7 linked regions of the Ovis aries genome follow. The protein of the gene in region 2 purifies or fractionates together with the protein of the main gene of each other region. This does not show direct contact. Links are inferred from orthologs where the notes say so. Each region holds a gene or a part of one and is shown on either strand. Other genes may lie near its edges.

Evidence for each region.
Region 1: the proteins of POLR3H (region 2) and POLR3E purify together in Homo sapiens (affinity purification with mass spectrometry; 9 studies listed by BioGRID and IntAct, counting the BioPlex papers as one, with this or other methods). This does not show direct contact. The link is inferred for Ovis aries from reciprocal best matches to the Homo sapiens genes POLR3H and POLR3E.
Region 3: the proteins of POLR3H (region 2) and POLR3C purify together in Homo sapiens (affinity purification with mass spectrometry; 5 studies listed by BioGRID and IntAct, with this or other methods). This does not show direct contact. The link is inferred for Ovis aries from reciprocal best matches to the Homo sapiens genes POLR3H and POLR3C.
Region 4: the proteins of POLR3H (region 2) and POLR3K purify together in Homo sapiens (affinity purification with mass spectrometry; 3 studies listed by BioGRID and IntAct, with this or other methods). This does not show direct contact. The link is inferred for Ovis aries from reciprocal best matches to the Homo sapiens genes POLR3H and POLR3K.
Region 5: the proteins of POLR3H (region 2) and POLR3D purify together in Homo sapiens (affinity purification with mass spectrometry; 6 studies listed by BioGRID and IntAct, counting the BioPlex papers as one, with this or other methods). This does not show direct contact. The link is inferred for Ovis aries from reciprocal best matches to the Homo sapiens genes POLR3H and POLR3D.
Region 6: the proteins of POLR3H (region 2) and POLR3GL purify together in Homo sapiens (co-immunoprecipitation; 4 studies listed by BioGRID and IntAct, counting the BioPlex papers as one, with this or other methods). This does not show direct contact. The link is inferred for Ovis aries from reciprocal best matches to the Homo sapiens genes POLR3H and POLR3GL.
Region 7: the proteins of POLR3H (region 2) and POLR2H purify together in Homo sapiens (affinity purification with mass spectrometry; 5 studies listed by BioGRID and IntAct, with this or other methods). This does not show direct contact. The link is inferred for Ovis aries from reciprocal best matches to the Homo sapiens genes POLR3H and POLR2H.

Annotation. Positions count from the first base shown.
Region 1 is NC_056077.1:20,542,823-20,546,680, reverse strand, and holds part of POLR3E (DNA-directed RNA polymerase III subunit RPC5), read right to left. Parts: coding exon 3,458-3,858; intron 1,205-3,457; coding exon 1,127-1,204; intron 1-1,126. UniProt on the Homo sapiens protein: DNA-dependent RNA polymerase catalyzes the transcription of DNA into RNA using the four ribonucleoside triphosphates as substrates.
Region 2 is NC_056056.1:218,449,536-218,454,057, reverse strand, and holds the start of POLR3H (DNA-directed RNA polymerase III subunit RPC8), read left to right. Parts: upstream 1-1,654; 5' UTR 1,655-1,975; coding exon 1,976-2,086; intron 2,087-4,522.
Region 3 is NC_056054.1:99,181,401-99,185,601, forward strand, and holds the end of POLR3C (DNA-directed RNA polymerase III subunit RPC3), read left to right. Parts: intron 1-441; coding exon 442-543; intron 544-623; coding exon of another isoform or gene 624-652; coding exon 653-702; intron 703-1,125; coding exon 1,126-1,275; intron 1,276-2,791; coding exon 2,792-2,873; 3' UTR 2,874-3,479; downstream 3,480-4,201. UniProt on the Homo sapiens protein: DNA-dependent RNA polymerase catalyzes the transcription of DNA into RNA using the four ribonucleoside triphosphates as substrates.
Region 4 is NC_056077.1:658,920-663,435, reverse strand, and holds the start of POLR3K (DNA-directed RNA polymerase III subunit RPC10), read left to right. Parts: upstream 1-1,644; coding exon 1,645-1,755; intron 1,756-3,084; coding exon 3,085-3,172; intron 3,173-4,034; coding exon 4,035-4,162; 3' UTR 4,163-4,516. Other genes in the region: SNRNP25 (U11/U12 small nuclear ribonucleoprotein 25 kDa protein), read right to left, coding at 354-459, 662-752, 1,197-1,487, 1,569-1,646. UniProt on the Homo sapiens protein: Core component of RNA polymerase III (Pol III) which synthesizes small non-coding RNAs using the four ribonucleoside triphosphates as substrates. Can mediate Pol I proofreading of the nascent RNA transcript.
Region 5 is NC_056055.1:43,362,038-43,365,425, reverse strand, and holds part of POLR3D (DNA-directed RNA polymerase III subunit RPC4), read left to right. Parts: coding exon 1-107; intron 108-272; coding exon 273-397; intron 398-804; coding exon 805-973; intron 974-1,522; coding exon 1,523-1,800; intron 1,801-2,496; coding exon 2,497-2,649; intron 2,650-2,807; coding exon 2,808-2,930; 3' UTR 2,931-3,388. UniProt on the Homo sapiens protein: DNA-dependent RNA polymerase catalyzes the transcription of DNA into RNA using the four ribonucleoside triphosphates as substrates.
Region 6 is NC_056054.1:99,305,354-99,308,898, forward strand, and holds the end of POLR3GL (DNA-directed RNA polymerase III subunit RPC7-like), read left to right. Parts: intron 1-1,858; coding exon 1,859-2,026; 3' UTR 2,027-2,889; downstream 2,890-3,545. UniProt on the Homo sapiens protein: DNA-dependent RNA polymerase catalyzes the transcription of DNA into RNA using the four ribonucleoside triphosphates as substrates. Specific peripheric component of RNA polymerase III which synthesizes small RNAs, such as 5S rRNA and tRNAs.
Region 7 is NC_056054.1:203,611,927-203,616,452, forward strand, and holds the start of POLR2H (DNA-directed RNA polymerases I, II, and III subunit RPABC3), read right to left. Parts: upstream 3,044-4,526; 5' UTR 2,910-3,043; coding exon 2,837-2,909; intron 1,878-2,836; coding exon 1,794-1,877; intron 1,714-1,793; coding exon 1,620-1,713; intron 1,078-1,619; coding exon 994-1,077; intron 39-993; coding exon 1-38. UniProt on the Homo sapiens protein: DNA-dependent RNA polymerase catalyzes the transcription of DNA into RNA using the four ribonucleoside triphosphates as substrates.

The sequences.
Region 1 (3,858 bases), on a different chromosome or scaffold from region 2:
CCTCAACCAGTGCAACCAGAAGCCCACTGAAAATAACAAGGTGAGACATCAAATAGGAGCAGCACAATCTGTGTATATCTGTGTGTGTATATATATAAAATGACACCTTGTAATTAAAAAGCCATCGCCTCTGAGGAGTGGGAATCAGGTCAGGCAAAGCAGGAGACCAGCTTCCCATACAGCTTTCAGTCTTATTTGTTTTGAAGAATACGCACTTACTACCTTTTTTTCCTTTTAATTACTGGAGTAGTTCAAGAGTAGGAAACCCAGATGCCACCCACTCTGGCCAAAAGCACAGAGATCTGTTCCAGATGGCTCTCCATCACAGAAGGCCCTGCCCCTCTGGTGTTCTCAGCCTGCCTGTCAGTCTCCTTCTAAGAGGCAAAAGGGGACACAGATCTTAGTGGGGGCTTTTGCTCACTCCCTCTCCCAGTTCCTAAGGACAACACCTGGAAAAGGACAGATCTACTGGAGTCTAGCAATTAAATCTTAATCTTTGAAATTCAGGCAAGCTCATGATTTAAGGAAAACTTCTGGACCTCAGATCCTGCTGGTTGAATTAATATTCTGTTCATTCCTGTCCAGGTGTGACTAGAGGCAAAAGGACTGATTTCTCTGACTTCTGATCTGATACCTGAGATTGATAAGAAATCCTTTTGATTCCTGCCACCATCAGTCATCTGAGAAATGTGGTCCATCACCGGTTCACAAGCCTGGCTGGGCAGTAGAATCATCTAGAAGGCTTTGTAGAAACTTAAATATCTAGGACCCTACCGCATTCCTATAGAACTAAACTGAATCTCTGGGCAGTAGAATCATCTAGAAGGCTTTGTAGAAACTTAAATACCTAGGACCCTACCCCATTCCTACAGAACGAAACAGAATCTGTGTACTTTTTAAAAGGTGTTTCTGATGCAGCCAGTCCTGACATTTGGGAACCACTGCTTTTGGCTCACACCACTGGCACATCCAGTATGTTTTGAAATATATGGAGAGACAGAATATTTAAAACCGGGAGCGGCTGGAAAATTTGAAATGGATATGACTATACTTTGGGTCTCCCCAAAGGTCCCCCCCTGCAGAACACCGCCCTCCCCCTTCTGGGGAGACTGGAAGGTCACCTCACCTGGTCACTAATGTCTCCAGATTCCCAGAGGGCGAACACCTTCTGCTCATCCGGGGAAGCAGCCGTCTGTGGGGGAAACTGACCGAGGCCCAGGCGTGAGTTGGCCATTTGGCTCTAACACATGAATCCACCCGCCTTGGTCCTGTCGGCCTGCACCCGCCCAGCTCTGGGAACGGAGTTCCAGTCCTAGCCTCTGCCTCTCGCTAGCTGTGGGCGGCTGCAAACCTACTGCGGCTTCTCCCTCCTCCTGAGCCACACGCGGAGACCGCTTCCATGAGACACAGACAAACCCAGCCCAAGCCAGACGTGCTCGGGAAGGCGGGGAGGCGGCGTCTGTGTTTCCCATCAGCCTGCCGCTAGCTCTCCCTTCTGCTTTAACATCCTGTGTCCTCCCACCCTCAACCAACCCTCAGATGTGTCTAAGCACTCCCACCCCCCTAAATCCTTAGGAATATCATGGGATCCCTTTCACTCCCTCCTCCTCCAAAGCCATGTCAACATGGGTTAGAGGCCCTGATCCACCCTGAGCAGCCCATGCCACGTGGCTCAGCAGAGTCTGAAGACGGACCACGGAGAGGGCAGCCCAGGCTCCTGGTGCCCGGAGAAGGGGACGGTGGAAAGGGCACCTGGCAGAGTGGATTCTGGTCTTGGTACCACAACCCAAGTAACAGTAACAATTCCTACCACGTAAAGTCCCAGGTGGGCTTTAAATCTCATTTGCTACCAGAGAGGGAGCCGCTCTCCAAGAGGGAGGTCCCATGCAGCGAGGTTTACTCAGTGTTCACGGCCACGCCACTAATAAGCAGCAGCGCTAGGAGCTAAGTCTTGGCGCATATACTTGCTCTCCCTGAGCCTCAGCTCCTTTGTGTTAAAACAAAAAAAATGAGGCTGGATAGGTCTGAGGAATCTTCTGCCTTGGACGTGACTAAGATACAGAGGAGAGTTAGCAAGGGAGCTGGAAGAGAAGGCCAGGGTCTCCTGAGTCGAGAGGCCGACCCTACTGAGAAGTGTAGGACGAGCGGGTCCTGGGGGTGGCCACTCATGCCCCTTGTCGTCTATCCCCTCCAACAGCCCGAGATGGCCTGGCTAACATCAGGCAGGTGCCCCTGCCCTGCCTGGCTCCGTCAGAGAAAGGTGAGTCTGCAGGTAACTGAACCTATCACTGGGTGGACAATGGAGGGTCCAAATAGGGCAGGGTGCCCAAGCCCGCTACCTTCTATAGAGACCTCACCGAGGGCCCCGTGCCACGAGCGCCAGATCCCCTGGGAAGCGCCAGCCAGCCTGGGACCCAGGGCCTCTTGCCCTAGTTTCTGCTCCTCACATACACAGGGACGGGCCTTTGCCTCAGGTCACCCGAGGCTGCACATGCTTCTGATCTTACGCTGAGGACAGCAGTGCTCCCTTGTTAAGAGGCATACACAGCCCACTTCACCCGACTCGCTGACAGGTCTGGGAGGAGAATGAAGAGAGCACCCAGCCGGGCACCCTTGTACCCTCAGCTCAGGGAAGTGGTCTCCAAAGATTCCTCTGCTCCTGTATTTCCACCCCTCTAGGACCCCTTCCAATGACGGGACAAGACAAGGAGCCCGGGGTGGGGGTGGCCCACCCTGCACCTGCAGGCCTGCACCAGAAATGCTCACTGAAAAGCCACAGAGCTGGCCAGCCAGCTCTAGGACAGGGAGGCCCGCCGGGACCCAGGTGCAGCTGAGGGCTCTGGTGAGAGGTCAGCTCCTCTCAGCTGCAGCAGAAAGGATTTAAGACTTGCAGCCACTGTACTGAGGTTCAATGTCCGGCTCTATCACTTCCTGGGCAAGTGCGTTTTATTTCTTTGAAACTCAGTTTCTTCATCTGCGGTTACAAGATCAAATGGCACTAGAAGTGAAATCATCGTAAAAAATGGCAAAGCTGGCAGGAATGGGTGGGGTGCTGGCACAGGAAGGGGCTAGACCCGGGGATGGGGAGCTGGCATGGCCAAAGCCCTCCTGTGTGCCAGGCAACAGGTGATGGCCTATAGGCACCCACTCAGCCTTCAACAAAGCCTGTGACACAAAACTAACATTTGCCCACTTCAGATGAGGGTGCAGGGCTGGGAGGCTGACCAGCCCAATACCGTACACAGCAACCACGTGGGATCCTACATTTACACTGAGGCCAACGGTCTCCCAAGTGCCCCTGCCCCAGGCACCCTACCAACAGCTGTTTCCCCAAAGCCAGCAGAGCTCAGGCCAGTCTGGTTGCCAGCCTCTCTCCCATAGCCACTTCCTCCTGGACAGGCCTGCGTGCCCAGGAGCCCTCCACGGGGCCTCGTCTGCCGCCGGGGGTGCTACTTACAGGCACCAGTATCTGCTTGCAGCCGGCGGCCAGCACCGTGTCCTGCAGCATGCGGTCCGAGATGCCGCTGAACAGCATGTGGCCGGGGGGCAGGCTGGCCAAGTGCAGGTTGAAGAGGCGCTTGAGTTCGCTCAGGGTGAGCACAAACTGTTTCTGAAAGGTGGCCTGCACAAAGGCCCTGAGTTCCCGGGCTACGAGGGTGCCAGCAGAGCCGGAGGGTGGGTGCCCATTGAAGCTGTCCCCGCCTGCCGCCCGCACGGCAGGCAGCCCGTTGGCCAGCCCACCGTGGAGGCCGCCACCGGGCGAGGTGTCCATGGGCTCCTCTTCGTCCTCCCCCTCCTCACTCATGGGCTCCTCCTTGATCCGCACGCCGGGCAGGACCGCGGACGCCTGCAGCTGCT
Region 2 (4,522 bases):
CATCTAGTCAGCTATGGTTTTTCCAGTGGTCATGTATGAAAGTGAGAGTTGGACTATAAAGAAAGCTGAGAGCAGAAGAATTGATGCTTTTGAACTGTGGTGTGGGAGAACTCTTTTTTAAATTTATTTTTCATTTATTTGGCTGCACTGTGTCTTAGTTGCTGCATATGGGATCTAGTTCCCTGACCAGGGTTCAAACCTGGGTCCCCTGCATTATGATCTCAGAGTCTTAACCACTGAACCACCAAGGAAATCCCATGGAGAAGACTCTTGAGAGTCCCTTGGACTGCAAGGAGATCCAACCAGTCCACCTTGAAGGAAATCGGTCCTGAATAGCCATTGGAAGGACTGATGCTGAAGCTGAAACTCCAATCCTTTGGCCACCTGATGCAAAGAACTGACTCATTGGAAAAGATCCTGATGCTGGGAAAAACTGAAGGCAGGAGGAAAAGGGGATGACAGAGGATGGGATGGTTGGATGGCATCACCGACTCAATGGACATGAGTTTGAGTAAGCTCTGGGAACTGGTGATGGACTGGGAAGCCTGGCATGCTGCAGTCGTAAAGAGTTGGACACGACTGAGTGACTGAACTGAACTGAACTGAATGGGAAGCCACTGGGCCTTCCCAGATGGTGCTAGTGGTAAAGAAATCGCCTGCCAATGCAGAAAACATAAGAGATAGGAGTTCGATCTCTGGGTCAGGAAGATCCCCTGGAGGAGGACACAGCAACCCACTCCAGAATTCTTGCCTAGAGAAACCCGTGGACAGAGGAGCCTGGTGGGCTACAGTCTATATAGGGTTGCAAAGAGTCAGGCACGATTGAAATGATTTAGTATGCACAAGAAGCCACTGAGGGGTTGTTTTCTTTCTTTTTCTTTTTGGTCCCAATTTAGTATTGCTTCTCAATTGAGATTTAATCTGCTTACAGTTAAATGCAAAGAAAGATCTTAAATGTTGAGTTGGATGAGTTTTGACAATTACATACATCTGTGTCTGCTGCTACTAAGTCACTTCAGTCGTGTCCGACTCTGTGCGACCCCATAGACGGCAGCCCACCAGGCTCCCCCGTCCCTGGGATTCTCCAGGCAAGAACACTGGAGTGGGTTGCCATTTCCAATGCATGAAAGTGAAAGTGAAAGTGAAGTCGTATCCGACTCTTAGCGACCCCATGGACTGCAGCCTACCAGGCTCCTACATCCATGGGATATTCCAGGCAAGAGTACTGGAGTGGGGTGCCATTGTCTTCTCCGATACATCTGTGTAACCACCTGCTAAAAGGAGACACAGAACATTTCTATTATCCGAAAAGGTCCCGCCTGCCCGGTTCCGGTTAATTCTCCCCGTTTCCAGAATCCGGTTGGGTCTAAGCAGACTGTGTTTGCGTTTGGAAAGGATCACTCGGGCAGTAGTGCAGAGGACTGTCTGAGACCAGCAAGGAGAGGACGTACAGGCTAGGCGAGAGCTGACTAGGTGGCACCGAGGTCGCCTAGCAACCTGAGAGCGCTGTCTGAGGGTTTTGACAGCTCCTCGCAGGCGGAAGGGGAGGCTCCGCCCCCGCCTCCCCCCGCCCCTCGCAAGAGCCAGTAGGCAGCCCCGCCCCGCGTCGGGGGCGGGCCGAAGCTTCTTATTGGTCGGCCCTCCGGAAGCTACTGAATTCGGAATCTCGCCCCAGGTCTTGCCATAGCGGGCTGCGTCTGGATGCTCGGTGTGTGACGGCGGCGCGTGGTGAGGGGCGGCATGTGGCGGGCCGCGCGCCGTTCCGGCTCAGCCAGGAGACCTCCCCGCCGCCGCTGAGCCTGTTTTCTTTATCTGTCGAATCGGAGCGCGCCCTGCACGGGACACCCCGAGCCCTACGGCGCAGCCCGCCTTACCGGCCTGGGGACTCCACAGAGCGGGCTCGGGGATCCCCACCGCCGCAGGCCCTGGTGCGTGACTGATCCTCCGGCTCCCAGAGCCCCCGGCCCAGGCTGGGATGTTTGTCCTCGTGGAGATGGTGGACACCGTGCGGATCCCCCCGTGGCAGTTTGAGAGGAAGCTCAACGATTCCATCGCCGAAGAGTTGAACAAAAAGTTGGCCAACAAGGTACTGGGTCCGCGGGGTCGCAGGCAGGCCTTTAGCACGGGAAGGGCCAACACTGCCTACCCACCCGCCGCCGGCCTGGCCTTGCCAACCCTTGGCGTTTAGGCAAGGAGCTTAACGTCCCAGAACTCGGTTTCTTCACCTGTACGTGGGATGAACTCATCCTTTACCCCACTAGGATGTTGGAGAGAATCAAAAATTGGGTTTGAAAAAGGCTCTTGTAATTGGGGAATATTCCCAGGGACGGCGGAGCCTGGTGGGCTGCAGTCTGTGGAGTCGCACAGAGTCGGACACGACTGAAGCGACTTAGCAGCAGCAGCAGCAGCGTCCCCACTTCCAAATTATTGATAATTTGCAATCTAAATCAAGTCATTTCCCCCGCTGGGCCTCGGTTTCCATTTGCAAAATGGAAATAATCATTGTTGTCCAACCATGCATTGTTGCTGTGAAGATGGGTGGTAGTTCAGCTGTCAGGAGGTTTAGCCATTCATTCCTTCAACAGAAATGTTTGTGCACCTTTTACGTGCCAGGCCAGCACGCCTTAGTGCCAGCAAGAGGCCTTCCCTCTGCCTTTTCTGAAGCAGTTATTCTGTGGCACATCACTCTTTCCTTCTTAGCAGTCGCCACACTCTCTCCTTGCTTGCTTACTGGGTTACTGTTTTTCTCTCTTCCTCTACACGAGGGCAGTGACCTTTTTCTTCTCCGCAAGTAACCCCCATAGAGTCTGGGCACAGAGCAGATGTTCCATAATTGTTTGTTGAATGAATAAAACAGACACGCTTCTACTCTGTAGTGTGGTGGGGACAGCAGATATGAACAAGAGACTCTCACAGTTGAGTGTGTGATGACAAACTGAGAGAACTGTTATGGGCTTCCCTGGTGGCTCAGAGGTTAAAGCGTCTGCCTGCAATGTGGGAGACCCGGGTTCGATCCCTGGGTCGGGAAGATCCCCAGGAGAAGGAAATGGCAACCCACTCCAGTATTCTTGCGTGGAGAATCCCATGGAGGGAGGATCCTGGTAGGGTACAGTCCATGGAGTTGCAAAGAGTGGGACACAACTGAGCTACTTCACTTACTTACATTATGACGAGTGTTCTCATAAGCCTGTGGAATGAGGGAACTTCCCCTACAATGAGGGAGACAAGAGGCTTTGCTAGCCGGTGATACTTGAGCTGAGATCAGGTGGTGAGGAAGAACTCATGTAGGGGATTCTGGGCAGAGCAGAGCTATGCAGGAAGCAGAAACAGCATGTGCAAAGGCCCTGTGGCAGGAAGGAATATCAAGCCTGTCGTAGCTTGGAGGAGGCTGATGTGGCCAGGGCAGAGGGGAGGGCAGGCTGGAGAGTGGTGGGAGCCAGCCCATACAGGGCCCACAGGACCCTACTGGAGTGATGGCCTTCATCTGCAGTAGGCTGAGAAGACTGGCTGGCTGGAGACTGGAGGCAGGTCCTGCCATAGAGGTTGAAGGCACAGAAGGTGGGGTGTACAGACCTGGGGCGTTGTTGGCGAGAACTCACAGAGTCCTTAGTGGATGGTGTCTGGTTGCTTTGTAAGGTACAAGGAGAGGGGGCTTCTGAGGGGACAAAGAGAGAAGCTATGAAAAGTCCAAGAAGGGAGTGTGGTCCTTCTGTGGCACAGGGCCTTCTCTGGTCTGTTCAGACAAGTATTTCTTTTTTTGTTGTTGCTCCTTGAGTCTTGTGGGATCTTAGTTCCCCAGCTAGGGGTTGAGCCCAAGCCCTCAGCAGTGAAAGTGCTGAGTCCTAACCACTGGACTGCCAGGGAATTCCCAGACAAGTATTTCTGCATTTGAATTACTGAATCATTTGGGAGGAGACCTTGCAAAAGTGGTCCAAGGTGCAGGCAAGGGCGCCTGCCTCCTTGTGCTTCCAAAACCAGCCAGACTCTGGGCCTCACTGCGTTGAGGTCTGGCCAGGACTCACTTCTCGGAGCTTCTTGCTAATCCGTAAACAGTCCTGCAAGGTCTCCGTTTGGGATGTGATGATGCTGGTGTCAGATAAGCAGACACTGAGCGGCTAGTCCTTTGGAGCATCGTGGGGTGGGAACGGGTTATGGATGTCCTCGGCCTGTTTTGCCCAGTCTCAGGGCCTCCTGTGTGTCACTCTGCCAGCCTCAGTCCCTGCGGCCACATCTGTGTGTCTGAGACTTTGTGAGCAGAACAGCGACTAGCTGTGGTTCTGACACTCTGAACTGTGAGCTCCAGGATGGACTTGGGACCTTGGAAAAGTGTAGTTTTAACCTGGGGGGTTCCCCACCCAGTCCTTGCTACTAGTAGTAATGATCCTTGATTGCAGAGGGTTTCTTCTAGCAAGTGAGCCGGCTACTGAGCTAGGTGCTTCACATCTGTTCTTTTTGGATTTAACAGCCCCGCAGCCTGGTATGTCCATTTTTGCAGATGGGGAAACTGAGCTCAGAGAAGTGA
Region 3 (4,201 bases), on a different chromosome or scaffold from region 2:
GCATGAAAGAGAAAAGTGAAAGTGAAGTCGCTCAGTCGCGTCTGACCCTCAGCGACCCCATGGACTGCAGCCTTCCAGGCTCCTCCGTCCAGGGGTTTTCCAGGCAAGAGTACTGGAGTGGGGTGCCAGTGCCTTCTCCAGAAATAATATAGTTTGTTGTAAAAATCAAATGCAGTCTACTTGGCACATAAGAGTTGCTCAATAAATGTTAAGTGCCTTCTCTTTCCTCCTCACTCAGGATGTTGACAATCAAAGGAAAAAACAGGACATCCCAGCCCTCCATATGGCTGATTATGCTATAAACACAGATGCTATATGACTGGGGAAGAGGGAATATAGGTGAAAGAGAGGGCTTAGTAACTCCAGATGGCACAGGTATTTACTTTGCCAGTTCTGAAGGAAAGTATAATGTCTCTTATTTTTCTTTTTGTGGACAAATAGGAAATTCCCAAAACACCAGACCATGCCCCATCCCGGACCTTCTATTTATATACTGTGAACATCCTGTCAGCTGCCCGAATGTTGCTGCACAGGTGCTACAAGGTAACTCCTCCGCATTCCCTCTACAGAGCTGTCTCAGCCTCACGTGCCCTTTAGCTGTTTTGCCTGAGCTACTTATGTAGAACTATGTGCATTTCTTCTCTCTCCTCAGAGTGTAGCCAACTTAATAGAAAGGAGACAATTTGAAACCAAAGAAAACAAGTGAGTAACATTTTCAGCTGAGTAATTACATATTTCAAGGCCAAAAAGCTTATGGGGAAATTTCCTACAGAAATGGAAACCAGTAGAGATAATAACCTGTCTGGTTGCACTGAATTATTGGCTTAGGTTGGCTTAGGTCATGCATTCATATACACTTTTGTCAGATATCCCCAGTGAAATAGTTTTGCAGATTAAATTTATGGGCAACATATAAACTGGCACCAAACTTTAAGTACAAGTGAGAAGCAGCAAGAGTTTCAGGAATAAAGTCACATTTCTAATTAAACTTGTAGGAAACATCCTTAGAGAGTGACATTGTCCACTTTGACCAGGAACATGGTAAAGGGGGAGATATGCCCCAGGTGTATGAGATGAAATCTCCAAGGCTAGGGGACATGCCTCAGAGTTGTGTTTTTCTGACAGACGTCTACTAGAAAAGTCTCAGAGGGTAGAAGCCATCATTGCATCTATGCAGGCTACAGGCGCAGAGGAGGCGCAACTGCAGGAAATTGAGGAGATGATCACAGCCCCCGAACGCCAGCAGCTAGAGACCCTGAAGCGCAACGTCAACAAGTAAGCCTCACAAACTTCAAAGCTCTGGTTCAAAATGCCCTCCAAACAAATCCACTTTGATGTCCTCCCACCCCTCCAACATGAGCAAACTGAAACTCACTATCTTCCTCCTCACCTCAATTAACAGAATTTAATCCACCTATTTCCCTAAGCTCAAATTTCTGAAGATATTCTCAGCTTCTCCTCCCTCACCTCTCCCTCACCTCTCTCTCTCCTCTCCTCTTTCCTCTCTTTCCTCTCTCTCCTCTCTCTCTCTCTCTCTCTGTCTCATGTTCACCGCAACTCTTGATGTTACTTCAGCAGAGGTGTCCCAAATTTGGCCTTTCATCTTGCTCTCCATGCATGCCCTTCTCACCTTTTTCCAAGACCTTTGCAGTCACCTCCCCCTTCAAACCATTTCTTATAATGCTTTCAAAGTTAGTTTCTTTAAAGGGATTGATAGTAGCACTCTTCTACTTTAAATGCTTTATTGACTTCTTATTTACAGCGTAAAGACCAGCCTCCTTGGTGTAACATACAAGTCCTTTCATGGTCTCCTACTAGCCTGTCCCTTCTTCCTCATTTCCTTTCACTCGTCACCATAGGCCTTCATAGAGATTGCTTTGAATCTGGGGAAGATTGCCATCTTAATGATACTAAATCTTCCAACCCATGAATATGAAAGGTCTTTCCATTTACTTAGTTCTTCCTTAATCTCTTTCATTGATGTTTTCAGTATTCAAGTCTTATAGTTTTTTTTGTTAAATTTATTCCTGTTTATTCTTTGTTGATGCTGTTTTAGTGTTTTCTTAAATTTCATTTTTGAATTGTTTATTGCCAATATATAGAAATAGAACTGATTTTTGTGTTTTGATTTTATATCCTGCAATTTTGCCTATTCATGTACTAGATGTGGTAAGTTTTTTGTGGATCCTTTGAGTTTTTTCTGTCTATAGGATTATGTCATCTGTGAATTAGAAAGAGCTTTACTTCTTTCTTTTCAATCTAAATGCCTTTTGTTTGTTTTTCTTGCCTAATTTCCAGACTAGAACTTCCAGTGAAATGTTGAATGGAAGTAAAAAGCAGGCATCCTTGTCTTGTTCCTAATCATAGAGGGAAAGTTTTCAGTTGTTCTCCACTAAGTATGATGCTCAGTATGGGTTTTTCATAGATGATTTTTATCAGTATTATCAGTAGAAGTGGTATTCCCTTCTATTCCTAATCACTTTCAGCCTCAGCCACTCTCAGCTTCTATTTTAAAATACACTAGGTCCTTTTACACCTGTGCCTTTGCTGTGTGCTTTTTCCTCCTTGCAAATTAGACTATAACTTCTCCTGGGACAGAGGTGGTGTTTTTTGAATCCTCATCAATTTCCACAGTGCCTAGCACACACAAGATGCTTGGTCAATGGGAGAATGAGCTATTAGTTCTCTTGCTTTCTGCCCAGTACTTTCGAGGATAACCAGTCCAGCCTCTAATCTTAAATGTGCTGATAAATGTTCAGTCTGGACAAATGCTCTCATTTATTTCACTCAGGTTGGATGCCTGTGAGATCCAGGTGGATGAAACCATCTTCCTGCTGGAGTCATACATCGAGAGCACCATGAAGAGACAGTGACCCAGAAGAAAAGTCTTCCTCCAAAGATCTGAGGGGATTGGAAGGAAGAATAAAGGAGTAGGAGAAGATCCAGATTCTGTGCTGACATTCCCTCTCCCTACCACCCGGAGTACACCAGAAAGAGTGTGACCTGTCTTTTTTTTTAAGTTTGCTGATCCTGTTTTAGAACCATCTTTATATTCTACCCTCATCAAATCCTGCCAGGAGAAAGAACCTTAAATCAACTAGATTAATCACCTATTAGATGCATCAGTTCCCACCGAGAAGTCAGCTAAAGCTGTGTTTGAACATCCCTGACAATGAGAAAAACTTCTTCCTAAGCTTTTTATCCCATTTTCAAAAAGCTGCACCTGTTCTTTACTTTGTTAAACTGTAATATTAAACACACACACAGTGTAGAGAATGTGAAAGACTACCACGAGAGGGGGATAAAAGCTATTTTTAGGGCTAGCAGGTGGATTGGCCCAAGCAGTCATACTAGAATCTATGGATAAATGGCACATTTGCCAGCTCTGGGCTTCTAACACATCTGAAATTATGTGTGTGAAACTTAGCACAGTGCTTGGCATATGGTAAGCACTCAATAAATCACTGCCTTTCTCGTCACCACTATTCCTAAAAACTGGCAATTGTAACTTCCCTCTCTCAGTACTGTGGATAGATGACTAGTTGGTATAATTTGTCCCAGCAGCTTCATTTCATTTAAAGCAGTTAGGTCCTATTTCATAATCAGTTCAGTTTGCTCCTACCAAGTGTTAGTCCTAATTCATTAAACATTGGAATGCCAATTAACTGTAGAGACAATACACAAAGATAACTCTTAATACAATACCATCTCTGCCTTCAAGACACCGCCATTTTTGAGCACAAGTTAGTACTAGAATGCAAAGATGAATACCCTCTAGCACAAACGTAATGAAAGGAGACAAATAAGTACAAGGATGTGTTGGGGGGCTGTAGTATAGAAGTGAAGGGGGAAAGGGTCAGGCAAGAAAGGAGGCAAAGAGAAGTGACACAATCTGTATTTTGAAAGATAGGGATTTACCAGGTGAAAGGGGGAAAGACCCCAGAGGGAAGCAGACCCTGTTTCTTAGGGGAACCACAAATATGATATGACTAGAAAACGGCATAAATCCTACCAGAATTGACAGGCAGGAGCAAGAACTGGTGGGTCCTTGCTGTGCTGTGGTAAGTAGCTTAGCTTATCCTGAGAGCACGGAGAAGCAAAATGAGCAGACTTGTATTTTGGAAAGATCACTCTGAACTGTAGAGAATGAATTGGCGGGGGCAGGACTATTTCAGTACAGTCACTCAGTTGTGTCCGACTC
Region 4 (4,516 bases), on a different chromosome or scaffold from region 2:
AGATGGGAATTCAGTAAACCGCAAGCAGGGTGATTCAGGAGGCTGAGAGCACCCGGGCGAGGGGCTGGTAGCAGCTCCTCTAGCCAGGGGAGCCACATCCAGGCACACGGCACGCCCTCAGGTGTCCCCACGTGCAGCTGCCCAGCTGCCCGAGTGGTAACACAGAAGAGCAGCAGCTAGGGCAGGGCCCGCAGGCACAGGACACCTGCCCTTTTTAAAGGCTCGGGACAGGGAGCTTGACGCTCTAGGCCGAATCCTGAGCAGAGCCCAGAAGATGACAAGGCTCGTTCGTGTCCGGCACATCCTCCCCGTCTCCCAGGAAGGGCTGAGGGAGGAGCCGAGGCTCCACTCACCAGCTGATGTGCTGAATGCCTCCCTCGCGCTCCTGCCTGAGCTGCACGTATCTCTGGATGGCCTTCTTCAGGTCCAGGACCGTGGCGTTCTGGACTACAACCACAGCTGCACAAGCAGAAGATCCCCAGCGTCAGGTGGCAAGAGGAGAGCCCAGAAGCTCTGTAACTTCCCAAAGCTCAAGTCTGGGCAGGTGTGGGTGTGCCCAACAGGCCTGGGCACAGCCCGGAGTTCCCACCCACCAGCTCTGCTAACATCCTCTCCTGTGAAGGTTCAGACTGCTCTGCCAGAGCGGGAGGGCAGCACTTACGCATAACTTCTCCATCCATCTTGCACACTCGCACTGTCATTGCTTGGCCGTATTCTAATGCTATTTGGGAATTAACTTCTTCTAAAGTAACCTGGAAAAGACCAAGGATGGAGGTGGGAGCTCTCTTCACCACCCAAAACAACAAAGGCAGACAAGCTGACAGCGTTTATAAAGTTAGGCAGAACCTTCCTGAAGTCTGAGGAGAACGGAAAATGGGAAACATCGATCTTTTACTTTTTACTTGAAAATTACATTATTTCTGCTTACCCCAGGCTTCTGCACACCAATTTCTGGTTGTTTTTAAAACACTGCTGACATGTCAAATGTCCTGACCAGTCGGTTTTTCGGCGCCCCTTTAAATTTCGCACCCGAGGCCAAAGCCTCGCTCGCCTCCAGGCCCGGCAGGAGCCTTCTGCCTAGACGCTCCGCTACGCTCGGAAACGCCTTCCCCAGGCCGAGGCCGCAGCCCCCAGCGGTCCTAGGGTCCGTCCGCGCCCCGACCCCCGCCCGGGGGAACGACGCGGCCCCCGCGCACCTGGATCGGAAGGTCGCAGAGCAGCGGGTCTTGCACAACCATGGCCAGGCCCTCCTGGAACACGTCCACCGCCTCGGAGTGCGGCAGCGCCTCCTCCTCGTCCTCCTCGTCGTCCTGCGGCTCCGGCCGCGCCGCCACCCGCGGCTCCTCCAGGGCGCCGGGCTTCCCGCCGGCCCCGCCCGCACAGCTGGTCCGCGCGACAGAGGTGGTCGCGCACGCGCCGGGAAGGCTACTATATCCCCACCGTCGGGCGTCGGGGGCGGGGCCACTCGAGGACCAATGAGAGATGAGCTACTGGGAGCCGGCCCGCCACTGCTCTCCCTGGGGGCGGGGAGGCGGCGTGATTATTGGTGGGCTGGCAGGGGGCGGGGCGGGGACCACGGGGCGCTGGGAACGCCGGCGCCGTGCTGCCGCGGGCGCTGCCGGGAGCGCCGAGCCTGTGGCGGCCATGCTGCTCTTCTGCCCGGGCTGCGGGAACGGGCTGATCGTCGAGGAGGGCCCGCGCTGCCACCGCTTCGCGTGCAACACCTGCCCCTACGTGCACAACGTCACGCGCAAGGTGGGCGCGCGCGGCGCGGAGGCCGACGCTCTCGCGAGGCGCCCGCGCGACCCGGGCCTTCCCCGCCTCCTTCCCCGCCTGGACCGGCGTCCTTTGGGCCCTGCCGGCCGCCCCGTGGCGCTCCGCCCGCCGCGCGCTGCTCCGGGGGCCTGTGTAGGGCTTTTGCGCCCGGGTCGCTCTTCCCCTCTGTACCCGTGTCACTCGTCGCTCGTGCTTTTACCCGGAGGATTATTTAAAATTGCAGCCTCTTTCTCCACCTCGCCCTTCTCCTAATCTTATTTTTTTAATAGGACTCGTTTGCCTTCCATTGCGGTTTATAATTTACTTGTGCGCCTGGTTTGTTAACACTAGGGTATACATTTTTCAGTTTTCGTCCCCTCTTATGTTCTAGTCTGAACATCTGGGATATATTGGGTATTCAGTACGGAGTGATACATACTGTGTTATAACTCAGTTGTAACTCAGATGTTACTTTCCGTCGATAATGCCTCTTTCCTTTTTAGAACACCTTTAATAATTTTTAGAAGTAGAGCACGCTGGTGTTGCTGCTGCTAAGTCACTTCAGTCGTGTCCGACTCTGTGCGACCCCATAGACGGCAGCCCACCAGGCTCCCCCGTCCCTGGGGTTCTCCAGGCAAGAACACTGGAGTGGGTTGCCATTTCCTTCTCCAATGCAGGAAAGTGAAAAGTGAAAGGGAAGTCGCTCAGTCGTGTCCGACTCTTCCCGACCCCATGGGCCGCAGCCTCCCAGGCTCCTCTGTCCTTGGGATTTTCCAGGCAAGAGCACTGGAGTGGGTGCCATCGCCTTCTCCGGTGTTACCTCATTAGTTTATATGCTGCTCCACCATGTAGCAGTGCTGTGGGAGTTTAGAGTCTGAAATTATGAAGGGTGACATTTCAAGGACGGCTGGTAAAACCTGGAAAATAGTTAGAAAAAGCTCTGTCTGGGCAGAGTGGCTGGGCCACCCTGCCAAGTGCTCCACTTTGGCCTTAGTCGTCTTTGGATGTCTTATTTCAGTGACCAAGTATTGTAGAGGTGGGAGAACAAGAGGGTCACACCAGCGCCGTTTTTCCTTTCCTGCTCAGTTGCTTCATCCAGTCCTCACAGAATCTTTTTATGGGGACATCCCAATTGTGGATCCTCCTGATTCTCATGGAGATTCCTGCTCGGTGACAGCAGGAATTGTGCTTTCCTTTAGTATTCCTCCCTTCATGTTGAAGGCAGGAAGCAGAGTCTGGGCTGATACTTGAAGGCATGGTTTGGTGACCTGGCTTTGTACTGGTCGCTTCCTGGGAGAGTCTGAAGACCTGCTGTTTGTTGTTTGTTAGGTAACAAATCGGAAGTATCCAAAGCTGAAAGAAGTGGATGATGTGCTTGGTGGAGCAGCTGCCTGGGAGAATGTTGACTCTACTGCAGGTGAGAGAGAAAACCTTTCCTGTTTCAGAGCTTTGGGTAAGGGTGCAGCCAGGAGCTGTAGGTAAGGATGAGGCCGCTGGCTGTGCCACTGCAGAGCAGAGTCTGTGATGTATCAAGTGGGCTTCTGAGACTAGAAACTGTTTTCTTCTCTAATGTATTTGTTGCGCAGACAGTATTGGCACAAGCTTTGGAGTGATTCAGACCTGAGTTAGTCTCAGGGTGATCTCATATTGATGCTGATGGGATTAATTAAAAAATCAGTGTAAGGATTCTGTTCTAATATAGTTTTCTTTTAAAGTCAAAGGTAAAGAGTATTAAACTGCCCTAAATATTCTGTGAAGTAAGTATTTGAGTCTTGATTCATCTCTGATAGTGACAGATGTGACCCAGGAAGGAAAGAGAGCCCTCGACACGACCAGGCCAGAGAGGAGGAGGAGCTCAGGGCGATTAGTACTGTCTTTTTACCCCAGAGGGGGCCGTCCAGATTTGCTCTGTTAAAAATCTCTCATGGGCAGAATTTGTCACTGGGAGGTGAATTACACACCAAATAGTGTCTGAGTGTTTGAAGGAGTTTTCATCAAGAGCAAGGTTCTTGAATTGAAATCTCGGTGAAAGTAAAATTAAAAAAGAAAAAAGTACAATCAAGATCACAGGTCTCCTTCCCTCAGTTGTGAGAGCACCGTGGGAATGACACTCCTTTGCAGGAAAACCTTGCAGGGCACCTCAGGCGACGGATACTAGTTGAGCTGGGGAGTGTCTGCTGCTGTGTTTCATGAAATGTCCACTTTTAACAAGCATGTTGATCATGAGGATCGTTTGTTTTTTTTAGTAACCGTGGGTCACTGTTTGTTCTTGTTGCCAGAGCCGTGTCCCAAGTGTGAACATCCTCGAGCCTATTTCATGCAGCTGCAGACCCGCTCTGCAGATGAGCCCATGACCACCTTCTACAAGTGCTGCAGCGCGCAGTGTGGACACCGCTGGCGGGACTAAGGGCGGGGTGGCCCAGCTGCGTCAGCGTCTGCGTGCTTTACTGTCCAGGGTGCATTCCCAGCTGCGAGTGGGAACTGCGTGTCCTGAGGGTCTTGGCTGGCGTGGTGGAAAGCTGACCCTTTAAGGGTGGCTGCCCGGGGAGTCAGGAAGTCCAGCCCGCCTCCCAGTCAGCAGATTAACTCCTTGATGCTCAGAATGTCCAGATTCTGCCCATGCTGTGTGTGGACGGGAGTATCCGTCCCTGAGTGCACCCTGCTGAGGTCCTGCTCTTCCTCTTTCATGTTTATTGGGCAGTTGATGTTCTACCATCAGCCAACACTCTAATATTTACATTGTTTCATAACTAATAAAGTA
Region 5 (3,388 bases), on a different chromosome or scaffold from region 2:
TAGAGATCGACAGCGAGAGGGCCATGGACGGGGCCGGGGGCGCCCAGAAGTGATCCAGTCCCACTCCATCTTCGAGCAGGGCCCCGCCGAAATGATGAAGAAAAAGGGTACAAAGCTGCCGGGGCTCTGGGAGGAAGGAATCAATGGATTTCAGTGCAGACTGCCCAAGAGAAGGACCAGGATGGTGGTATTCCCCTGCTTGTTCCCAGTTTAGCCTCCCTTGCTGTTGGCTCCTCCCTGACTCCTGGTGAACTATGGGTGGTTTTCCACAGGGAACTGGGATAAGACCGTGGATATGTCAGACGTGGGGCCCTCTCACATCATCAACATCAAAAAGGAGAAGAGGGAGACAGATGAAGAAACAAAACAGATCCTGCGCATGCTGGAGAAGGATGATGTAGGTACCAGTGGACTAGGGGAAGGGGCTGCCTTTGTGATGAAAAGCACTTCTAGGGAACCAGGATGGGAGAAGCTCTCTAATGTCCTGAAAGTCTAGTGAGCGGCAGGAATCTTTGATTAGAAAAGAGCTAAGATGGACTGTGGGCTTCCCAGGTGGCTCAGTGGTGTAAATCCACCTGCAGTGCAGAAGATGCAAGAGACACAGGTTCGATCCCTGGGTCATGAAGATCCCCTGGAGAAGGAAACGGCAACCCACTCCAGTATTGTTGCCTGGAAAATTCCATGGACAGAAGACTCTGGAGGGCTACAGTCAGACACGACCAAGTGGCTGGGCAAGGTGGACTGCCCTCCAGGTAGGTGTGTATGCTGGCCCTGCTGTGTGACCCCCCGACTTTTCTTTGGCAGTTCATCGATGACCCTGGGCTTAGGAATGATATTCGAAATATGCCTGTGCAACTGCCGCTGGCTCACTCGGGCTGGCTTTTTAAGGAAGAGGATGAGGAAGCAGATGTGAAAGCACGGCTGGCTGGCCCCGAGGAAGAGGATATAGAGGTGGACATGCCTGCTGTGAAAGGTGCTCTGTCAGTTAAGGTCTCGTCTCCTTTTCTCCAGCTGTTTCCGCAGGAGTGAGCCTGCCTGACTGTTTTAAGATTTATTTATTTTTTGGCTGTGCTGGGTGTTCGTTGCTCCACACCAGCTTTCTCTAGTTGCAGCAAGTGGGGGCTACTCTTTGTTGTGGTGTGTGGGCTTCTCATTGCAGTGACTTTTTATTGCCAAGCACAGGCTGTAGGGCGTGCGGGCTTCAGCAGTTGCGGCTCCTGGGCTCTAGAGCACAGGCTCAGTAGTTGTGGCACGTGGGCTTAGTTGCTCTGCAGCATGTGGGATCTTCCCCAGACCAAGGTTCAAACCTGTGTCTCCTGCCATTGGCAGGAGGATTCTTAATCACTGGACCGCCCTTTCTTAAATAAGTCACACAACTTTTGGATCCCTCTTTCTAAGCACAAAGTTTCCCTCCAGCTTCTTGGCTGAGTGACAGTGGAGCAGATCAGGTGGAAGGGGTGGGTGCAGTGAGATGGCCTAGAGGTGGCCTCTCATAGCCTTCCCTTTCTGTTATCTCGGGCAGTAAAAGAGGAGCCCCGAGATGAGGATGAGGAGACCAAGATGAAGGCTCCTCTCAGTGCAGCCAGGAAGATCCCGGGCCTCCCGAAGGATGTGTCTGTGGCGGAGCTGCTCAGGGAGCTGAGCCTCACGCAGGAGGAAGAGCTGCTGTTCCTGCAGCTGCCAGACTCACTCCCCGGCCAGCCACCCACTCAGGACATCAAGCCTGTCAAGACGGAGGTGCAGAGCGAGGATGGGCAGATGGTGGTTATAAAGCAAGAGAAAGACCGGGTATGCTCATCAGTGAGTGCTGTGAAGATGCACAGGACCTGGAGGGGAAATAGCTACCTGGAGGGGGAAGCAGAGTGGTGTTGCCCATAGTGAAATTAGAGAATAATACGTATTTGTTCTTTCTGCCTGTAAGGGGCTTGGGGCTCTCTGTGCTTCAGCCCAGATTGTGTGTGTGTTTGTTTTTCATGGTGAACTATTTTGAACATATACAAATGAGAGAATATAAGTTCTCATGTACCATCACCTAGCTTCAGCAGTTACTGATATTTTGTTCATTTATCTGTGGTTTGGGTTTTTTTGTTTTGTTTATTGACCAGTGGCAGGCATTCCCAGGAAAAGGCCCTCTCTGGGAAGCTCATTCTTTTTTTTTTTTTTAAATATTGTTCTTCTTTTTTTAAAGGGCTTTCTTGGTGACTCAGATGGTAAAGCATCTATCTGCAATGCAGGAGACCCGGGTTTGATCCCTGGGTTGGGGTGTTAGTTGCAGCATGCTAACTCTTGACTGTGGCATGTGGGGTCTAGTTCCCTGACCAGGAATCGAACCCAGGTTCCCTGCATTGGGAGTTCAATTCTTAGCCACTGGTCCACCAGGGAAGTCTGGGGAGCTCATTCTAACCTTTGCTGCTGATGCCTCCTTTGGGAAAGGGTTTGTTCTTGAAGGGAGGAGATAGTTCCTCAGCCAGTTTCCGTCCCCGATCGTCTTCACAGGAAGCCAGGCTGGCAGAGAACACTTGTACCCTGGCTGACCTGACGGAGGGACAGGTCGGCAAGCTGCTCATCCGCAAGTCGGGGAAGGTGCAGCTCCTCCTCGGCAAGGTGACTCTGGACGTGACGATGGGGACCACTTGCTCTTTCCTGCAGGTGAGAGTGAGCCTGGTCGGGGTGGAGGCTGTTCAGGATGTTGACAGCTTGGTGTTAAGTACGGGGGAAGAGCTCTTGGGATCATCGCATGAAAGTCAGAGGACTGAGCAGTGGGCTGTGTGGTCTTGCCTTTCATCTCCGTCTCCGTTGATTGGCAGGAGCTGGTTTCTGTGGGCCTTGGAGACAGCAGGACAGGCGACATGACAGTCCTGGGACACATAAAGCACAAACTCGTCTGTTCTCCCAACTTCGAATCCCTGCTGGATCACAAACACCGGTAAAGCAAGCAGATGGAGGACGGTGGTGACTGTGCCCACGACTGCTGCCTGCTCCAGACGTTTTGTTCTCAAATCTGTTCGACCCAGAAGGGGCCTGTTTAGCCCACCCACTCCAGCCATTGTCCCAGTTTTCCCCACAGGGCCCACACGTGGCTCCCTTCCACGGCGGCTGTGAACAGCACGATGACCTTCCCACAGTGAGGAAACCGCACACCCTCACTGCTAGGGGGTTGGTCCCTGCTATTTATTTTTATATTTATGTCTTAGCTGTTCAGTGGACTGCACCCTCCCCAGGCGGAGAAGGATTGGTCTGGGCAAGGACAGGCTCCTTCTTTGGGGATGTCTTGGTTCTCAGGGCAGGAGACGCTATTGTTCCCTCCTTCCTCCCATGAGGCAGCGCATGAGAGAGAACAGAGATGTCTGGAGTCTTGAGATTCAACCTCAGTTCTATCCATTACTAA
Region 6 (3,545 bases), on a different chromosome or scaffold from region 2:
TTAGATAGCTTGACTCCAGGGTACATGTGCTTAATTACCACACTATACTATTTCTCCTTAAATAAGAAGGCTAGTCTTGAACTTTTTCTAGGCTATAGACTCACCTATTCCAGGACCGCAGCCCTGGATCTGTAGCTATCTCTGAGAGGGAGTTTTTCAGCTTAGGAAATGGAGATGGATGTAGGGACAGAACAGAAACTGAGACAAAAGTTGCTTTGTTTTTTTTTCCACTCCAGAACTACTGAGTTCAGGATGCTTGAGACAAGGGCTGGGCTACTGGAGGGTCAGCAAAACATTTTCCTTATCCATCTTATGCATTCTGTCACCTAGAGATAGTCCATGGAAGGAATTCTAGGAAAAGGTCTATATAGTAGTGAAAAAACTGGGCAAAAGTCACTTCTTCAGCCCACTTCATAACCTTTAGCTCTTGTGTGATTTTTTTATTGACCAGGTGCTTGGTCAGATCTCCATACTTTTCCCTCCCAAATTATATCTTTGTTTTTTTCCAGTGTGTTCAGAGTTATCAAGATGGTCCAGGATCCTGATTGTAGAAGTATCAGTTCTTTTCTTATTAATTTTACTTTCTCTATTTTCTCTCTTTAGTTTTCTGTCTTCTTTTAAATCTTCCAATACCAGATTAGACCTAATGAATAAATGATACTAAGAACTGGATCTCCTTTAATGGGTGTATATGTAGGTTATAGTTCCTTAAAAATTAATAGACATAAGAGAAGAGTATGGGAAAGGAAGACCCAAAATATCCACCCACTTAAATGGAGAAACAGCTGGGCTAGGACCCAAGGAAGACTACTTAAGTGAGCCCATATGCAGATGTCCTGAGGTGAAGTAGGAGTTGTGTATCAAAGTCAAAAGGAAGTCCAGTAGAGACTTTTGTGCTTTAAGGGAGGGATGTATTTCCTCTGGGTGAAGAGCTATAGCTGGTTCCTTCCTTCCTCAGATTTTTCTGTGCCAGTTACTAGTCACATAGAGCTAACTAAATTTAAAACAAACAAAAATAAAAATTCAGTTTGTCAGTAAAAGCAGCCACACATTTCAGAGCACTTGTCACGTGTGAATAGTGCCTATTGTATTAGTGCAAATGTACCACCTTTCCATCATTACAGAAGTTCTGTTGGACTGTGCTGGATTTGAGCTATTATGCTATCAGGAGAGGGTGCATATGTTCTGGCCCTTCAAGGCTCAAGTCTCTATCAGACCTTGGCTGTAAGTTATCTACCCTCTCCATCCCCTTGTATCACACTCCAGTAGCCAGGCTGTGTACACAACCAGAGTTGTGTGCTCCATGGTCTCCCCTTCTCTTTGTCCTGCCCTCTGGCCAGCTCTTGTCCTTGCCCCACCCCTCCAGTCCCTGGAAAACAAGCTCCAGAAAAATTTTCCATCAACTTTGACCTGGTTTCAAATCTGGCCACAGATTTGAAAGAGGGAGGAGGCTCTAAATTCGTGAACAGGTAAGAAATGGAGGAGGCAAAGGTGAGAGTGAAGGTGACAGTCACCATGGCAACAGAGCTAGAACCTGATGCCTTGATAAAGAAAAAACAGGAGGCGCAAAACAACTACTGAGAATGAAAGCTAGACACAAAGACAACTGCAAAAGAATCTTTTCAATCTCACTTTCTGTTCAATTTACATTGATTTTATGAACGCTGTTGGCTCAGACGGTAAAGAATCTGCCTGCAATGCAGAGCCCAGGTTCAATCCCTGGGTCCGGAAGGGCTACCCACTCCAATATTCTTGCCTGGAGAATTCGAGAGAGAGGACCCTGGTGGGCTACAACCCATGGGGTCATAAAGAGTCAGACACAACTGAACTAACACTTTCATTTTTAATGAACTTTTAGGAGTCTGAAGTTGGGAATTACTACGTGGAGATCCACAGAAAAGCCAACACCCCTCTCCCAATAAAGGCTAAGACTAAATTTGTCTGCAGAAGTTTAAATGAAACAGAAATCAGAAAGTATGTTAACTTCTGCCATCTCAGGGTTTATCAATGTAAGTCACTCCTTTAGGAATAATAATCATTTCAATTAGAGGTGGAGTTGTGGTATCAATCTGTTGTTATTACTCTACAAAGAAGTAACAGGAACTGTAAACCATACCCTAACGAGGAAGGTGGATTTGAATGTTCAGCAAACATTTACTGAGTTATGATCATGTGCCTGAATAGGAATTGTTCTAGGAGCTGCAGAGATTTAAAAAAAAATGGTAGCTGTCTTCAAAAAAGTTGATATTCATTAACTGTAAAAATCCTTTAGTCCTGTTTTGTCTTCCTACATATAAACCACATTTTTACTGGCAAGAAACTATGATGAAACCAAAATAAGAAATAAAAGTACCATAACACTTTCCTCCCAAATGCCCTTACAAAATTCATTTCTCTGTATTTTAGGAGCTCATTAAACAAATAAACAAACAAAAAAAGCCTTATATACTCCAAAGCTGAAGAAATTTAGTAATGATTAACTAAAGATGTAGAAAACCAGATCAGACCACCAGAAGACCCCACTATTCACTGAAGTTCTTCAGTGAATCGGACAAAAGACAATGTAGCTCAAATTCCTTCCCTCCTCACCCCCATTCTGACCATAGTCCTTAGGATCAATAAGAAATGGTTTCTCTATAGGGTTTTCAACAATCTGAGTTGTGAAGTAAGGGGGAAAGCTCCTTTAGGCACATTTTCTTTCTAATAACTTCAATATTATCTTACAGACAAGAAGAGAAACATTTTTTTGCCATTAAAAAACTTTTTATTTTCTTTTTTTTTTTTTTTACAAAGAATACCCCCACCTGGGGTGAAAAATATATCTGGTTAAGTACAAAATATAGTTTTTCTCATACAAAAAGATATACAATTAAAAAACAAAAAATGAAACCACCTTCAGCCCACATACTTTTTCAGAAAAGGGTAGATAGAGCTCAGAGCTCTGACACAGGACAGTGAACAAAGTGCTAAGGCGGAGAGTGACTGACCAAGTGCTAGAGGCTGCAGTGAGACAGGGGCTGTCAACAACCCTGTCTCCTAACACTGGGCAGGAAGTGAGCCCTTGGGGCTTCTGTGAAGATCTGCCTTCTGGTTTCTCATGGCAACATCTGGATGCTCTCATCACAGTGCTGGGGCATTTTATCTAGGGTTCCTCCTTGGGTTTGGAGAAGTCACAGTGGGCAAGGCTGATAGCAGCAACCCTTCTCATGTGATCAGTGTCAGAAATGCAGAATTCTGTACACTGGGACAAAGTCTCAAAAGCAGGAACACTTTTTTTTTTCCCTGTCATTGTGCTTACCCCTAGAGACATAGTAGACCAGTTTTAGCTTACATCTGAGAAAGGAAAAAACCCCAAATTTGACACAAACTAAAGTGCTAAGGACATTGCCTCAGAATCAATTCCAAGGAGTCACACGAGAAAAGAAAAAAACATTCTCCCACATAAAAATGTTTGCCAACAGGAGAACACAGTGCAACAAGCTCTAAAAATGGCTTTTAAGACCTCTGGTGGGGCACAGTTACTACTGCTTTATGACTGATTAAAA
Region 7 (4,526 bases), on a different chromosome or scaffold from region 2:
GCCTCATGAGCAGCCCCCCATAGGACACGTAGGCAGAGCTGAAACAGAAGACCCAGTCCCGTGAGTCTGAGTGCCAGAGCAAAAACTGCTACTCAGCTACTCTCCATGCCAGCCTAAGAAAAAAAGGCACCCTTCTAGAGTTCTGTCATTAGGAACCAAATTTCAGACAAAGATGACGGCACAGATATGTGCAAGGCAGTGTTTTTTATATCAGAAAGGTGGAAAATACTCCATGACCAAACTAAGGGAAATGGTCAAATCAATTAAGATACATCCATTTATTGGAATGTTACACAGCTATAAAAATGTTTAGGAATTTAAAAAAAATGTTTAGGAAAAGCTTTAAATTGACATGAGGAAACATGTTTTACATAACATTAAGCAAATGGAACAGAACAAAACATTGTAATAAACAACATGATCTCAAAGAAAAAAGTACATAGGAAAAAAAAAACCTAGAACATTCAAGAATGTTTATGTAGAAGATTCCCTCTGGTTATAGAATTATAGGTGACTTTTTTCCTTCTTCATATTACTTTTCTGCTTTTCAAATTTCTTGCAAAGGGCACATATTGTTTTAATAAGGTTTTAAAGAAAAGGAAAAAATAGTTGGGCAGAGAAACCAAAGAACTAGGGATTGGATTGCAGAGTAGCAAAACACACACACACACACAAACAAAAAAGCCTAGCAGTTTAATCACTTATGCTGCATTTAGTTCTTGGAGAAGTAACTTTCCTTGGCATTTCACTCAGCAAGATTAACAGTTTCTCATTTAGATCACAGGCCTTAAGATCCTGACAGAGGGCAAACTGACCAGCCTACATTTCAGACTGAAACTGTTCCCAAAACAGTTCCTTTCTGGGTCCCGCTAGGTCTGAGGTGCTTGAAGAAAGAAATCCAGGGAGCCTGAGGATGGTCCAGATTTTCAAAGCATAGCCCAAATTCTCACAAAATGAGAAGGGAAAGGGCTCTCACAAGACCAAGGAACTTACAGGCGTGTTGCTGCTTCAGTAGAAGTTTCGTCTCCCTCAATCCTGTACACTTTCCCATACATGACATACTCAAATTGGTCAGCCCTGTGGAACAATAGGGGCAGTTATTCTTAAATACAGTTAACAAAAGTAAGAGGCCCTTTAAAAAAATGGTAACTGGTAACTATACGCCAGCATCATAACACCAGGCACTTTCTAAACGTGATGTCATTCAATCCTCACAGCAACCCTGTGAGCTAGGTATGACCATCAATGTTATTGATGAGAAAAAACTAAGGTTGAAGGAGGTTAAGGTTATCCAACAAATAAGTGGTAGAGCTGAGATGTGAACTGAGTGGGCGTCCAAAGCCTTTCCATCACACCAAACTCCCTCCCAAGACACAAGGCCCACAGAGCCTAGGTCATTCAGTGCTCATTTCCTCCACTATCAAAAAGTGACAACTCACACTGTAATCACTGCTTTGGATAAACACCTGGATGTCTGGATTCTTAAGTGCTGCACTTTTCTTAAGCTAACAGAGTCTGCTGATAATCATTTATTTCATGAATTAAGTAAGGGTTTTTCTATACACCTATCCACTTAGTCCTCAGGCACATTTCAGGTGCTCCCTTTTCCATCCCCTCACCTGGAAGGCCTATCATCTGTGGGGTTGTATTCACCATCATCCAGAGTACCATCTTCATATAAGGTACTGGCTATGACCAACCGGAACTTGTCACCTGAAAACAACAGCGGTAGCAGAGGGTGGAGACCAGCTGAGATGGCATAAAGCCTCCTGCTGTTTGTGTTCAATACTTACCCAAGTCTACCGGGTAAATCTGAATGTTTACATCAAGGATGAGGTCCATCTTGAAAGATTCACTCTCACAATGCAGCCGAGACACTGGAGGGGAAGAGTGGCAGAAGTTAACTGCCTGTGGCCCAGGGCAGACCCTACAGGGCAGGGCAGACAGGTACTTCAGGGGCCTGGATGCAACAGAATACTCAGTCTAATGCAGTCTGTATCCACTGGCCTCTCATCTGCTCTCACAGAAGTACAGGCTCAATCAGAATCACACATGCAGGAAGGAAAGGGGAGACAACCTGTGGCCAGTGGACAGAATCCACAGAAAAGAATCAAAGATCCTCTGGCAATAAATAATATCCAGGTTCTAGGCCAACCTAAGTGATTAAGAAATAACCTGATTTGGGGCAAGGTATTCATTCATCCTAAGGTTTCCTCTTCCTGTGTCAGGTGCTGTGCTAAGGGGATTGATTATCAAGATGTGTAAGAACTGGTGTTTGTCCCGAAGAACTTATCAGTGTCCAGGCAAAGGAAGAGACACCCAGGACAATTATTGATAAATGACAGAATAAAGAGGTGTATACCAAGCAGTCTACTCTTAAACTCTGAGAAGATTTTACAAACAGCTAAAGACTCTGAGGAACGGGTTGTGAAGTCGGATTATTCACTGTACAACCTTGGGTGGGCTGCTTAGCCTCTCAGAGCAAAATGGGTAAGACACCGCCTACTCCTGGAAGAAAATAAGTGAGACAAAGCGCGTGCGAAGTGTTAAGTACAGCGCCCGGTCCAGAGCGGGGAGCGATTATAAAAGATGCCTGGAGTCCACCAGCACCAGCAGAAAAGGCCACCCAGGCAGCGAGCACAGCTTGTGTGAAACCAGGGAGAGCTCGGGAGTCTCCGTTTTCTTATCTATAAAATTATTTCTCGAGAGAGGTCCCCACACCAGGACCCACCGGTAGGGAAAGGCCACGCGAAAGTGGGTGGACAAGCAGCCTGGGGGCGGGTACCAGAGGAGATTAGCCCCTTCCCCCGAAACCGCCCCTCCAAACCTTGCTTACCTCGGTCAAACTTTTTGCCTTCCGGGTCAATGTCTTTTACATCAAAAATATCCTCAAAAAGGATGCCCGCCATGGTGAGGGGGCCACGAGAGTAGCAGAGGGACTGGGCGCGCTGACCACGACGACTAGGGGTAGCGCACCCCCTCGCGTGGAGGAAAAGAGGCGCGCTAAGACGACGCAGCGCTGAAACGGCAGCGGCAAAGGAATACAATAACGCATGCGCATAGAAGAACTGTACCGCAGCCACTTCCGCTGCCTAGCTCTCGGGGCTTCTTAACTTCCGCCCCGAACGATTGTTTCCCAGAGGTTTCAGAATTGAGGGCTGGTTTCGGGTCCAGAAAACCCCGCCCCCGGCGGCGACACGATGGGTCCCACCTCCGACAGAGGTGGCGTCGCGTCCGGCTCTCTCCCGAGGCTCTACTGCGCCCTCTTCAGAAGCCGGGTCTGGAAGACTGGAATGCTCAAGCGGCCTGCCCCAGCCAGGGACCTTGATCCTTGGCCCAGAGAAGCCCGGCCCGAGCCTTACTGTGCCGGTCTGCGTGCCCGCCGAGGGCAAGTCCGCACAGAGAGTGAGGGGAGCAGCACCCCGCCCCCAGGGCGCTGGCCCGACTGGGCGCAAAACCCAGCCCTTCCTGCTGGCACCCAGGCCGGCCCGGGCCGGCTCGTCCCAGCTGGATGTCACCTGAGCCGGGTCCCTCCAGTTTGGGAATTTGCCATGATGTCACCATGGGGAAGAGGAAAGCCTGCACCGTCCCCTTTCCTGCTCTCTTCTCTCACACCACCCCTTCAGCAGGGCATTAACCCCAAACCCACTGCCCTCCTCGAGCCCTGCCCCTTAAGCTCTGTTCTTCCCTTTCCGCTACCACGGTCCTCTCCTTCTAGACAAGCTCTCCTACGGGCTTCTTCATCCTGGCACTACCCTATCCTACAGATGCCACCTCTTTCTTTACATTGCCCCTTCCTCTAGGGTGCCAGCTCTCACTTCGGCCCCCTCCTGGGCACTGCTCCCTTACCCGGGAGCCCCCTGCGACCTCCCGCGCGCCCCTTCACCCCGGCGCTGCCTCCTCCTGCACACTGCCTGTTTCCTGGGCACTGGCCTCTCCTGACACTCTCCCTGACGCTGCTCATACACTAGTGCTCACCCCCTCTGCTCTGTCCTCCGGACCCTCATACAGAACACAAAGCCCCAGCAGGCCGTGTTCCCCCATGGCTGCTAGACGTCAGCACCTACTCCGGTTTCTCTTTGGGCCCTGCCAGGGAGAAGCGACCTCTGTCCCCACCACGCCCGCCTCCCAGGCACCTAGACCTCCCTTCCCTCTGGCCTCACCCATTCCCGTTCCCTCCCCATCTCCACCCCAACCCCCCGCACTAGCCGAAGGCCAGGTGGCTCAAAGTGCACCTCCCTGGGGGTGCTCCTGGGGGACCCGCAAAGAAGGGAAGGAGAAAGGAAGGGGATGAGAGAGACCGAGGGTCCTAATTCCAAGCAACCTCCGTTTCTGGGCCTAGCGACCCCCTCCGAGTTCTCCCCTAGCTTTGTTTTTCACCCCCCAGCAGAGCACAGGGACCTTTCCTGGCCAGTCAGCCGTTGGCCCCTCCGGTGAAGCAAGAGAGGGGACCGCCGCTGAGGGATTGGGCCCGAATCTGATTTAGACGGCTCGGCAGCCCCCGCCCCAGGCCCTACCGAGCCCCG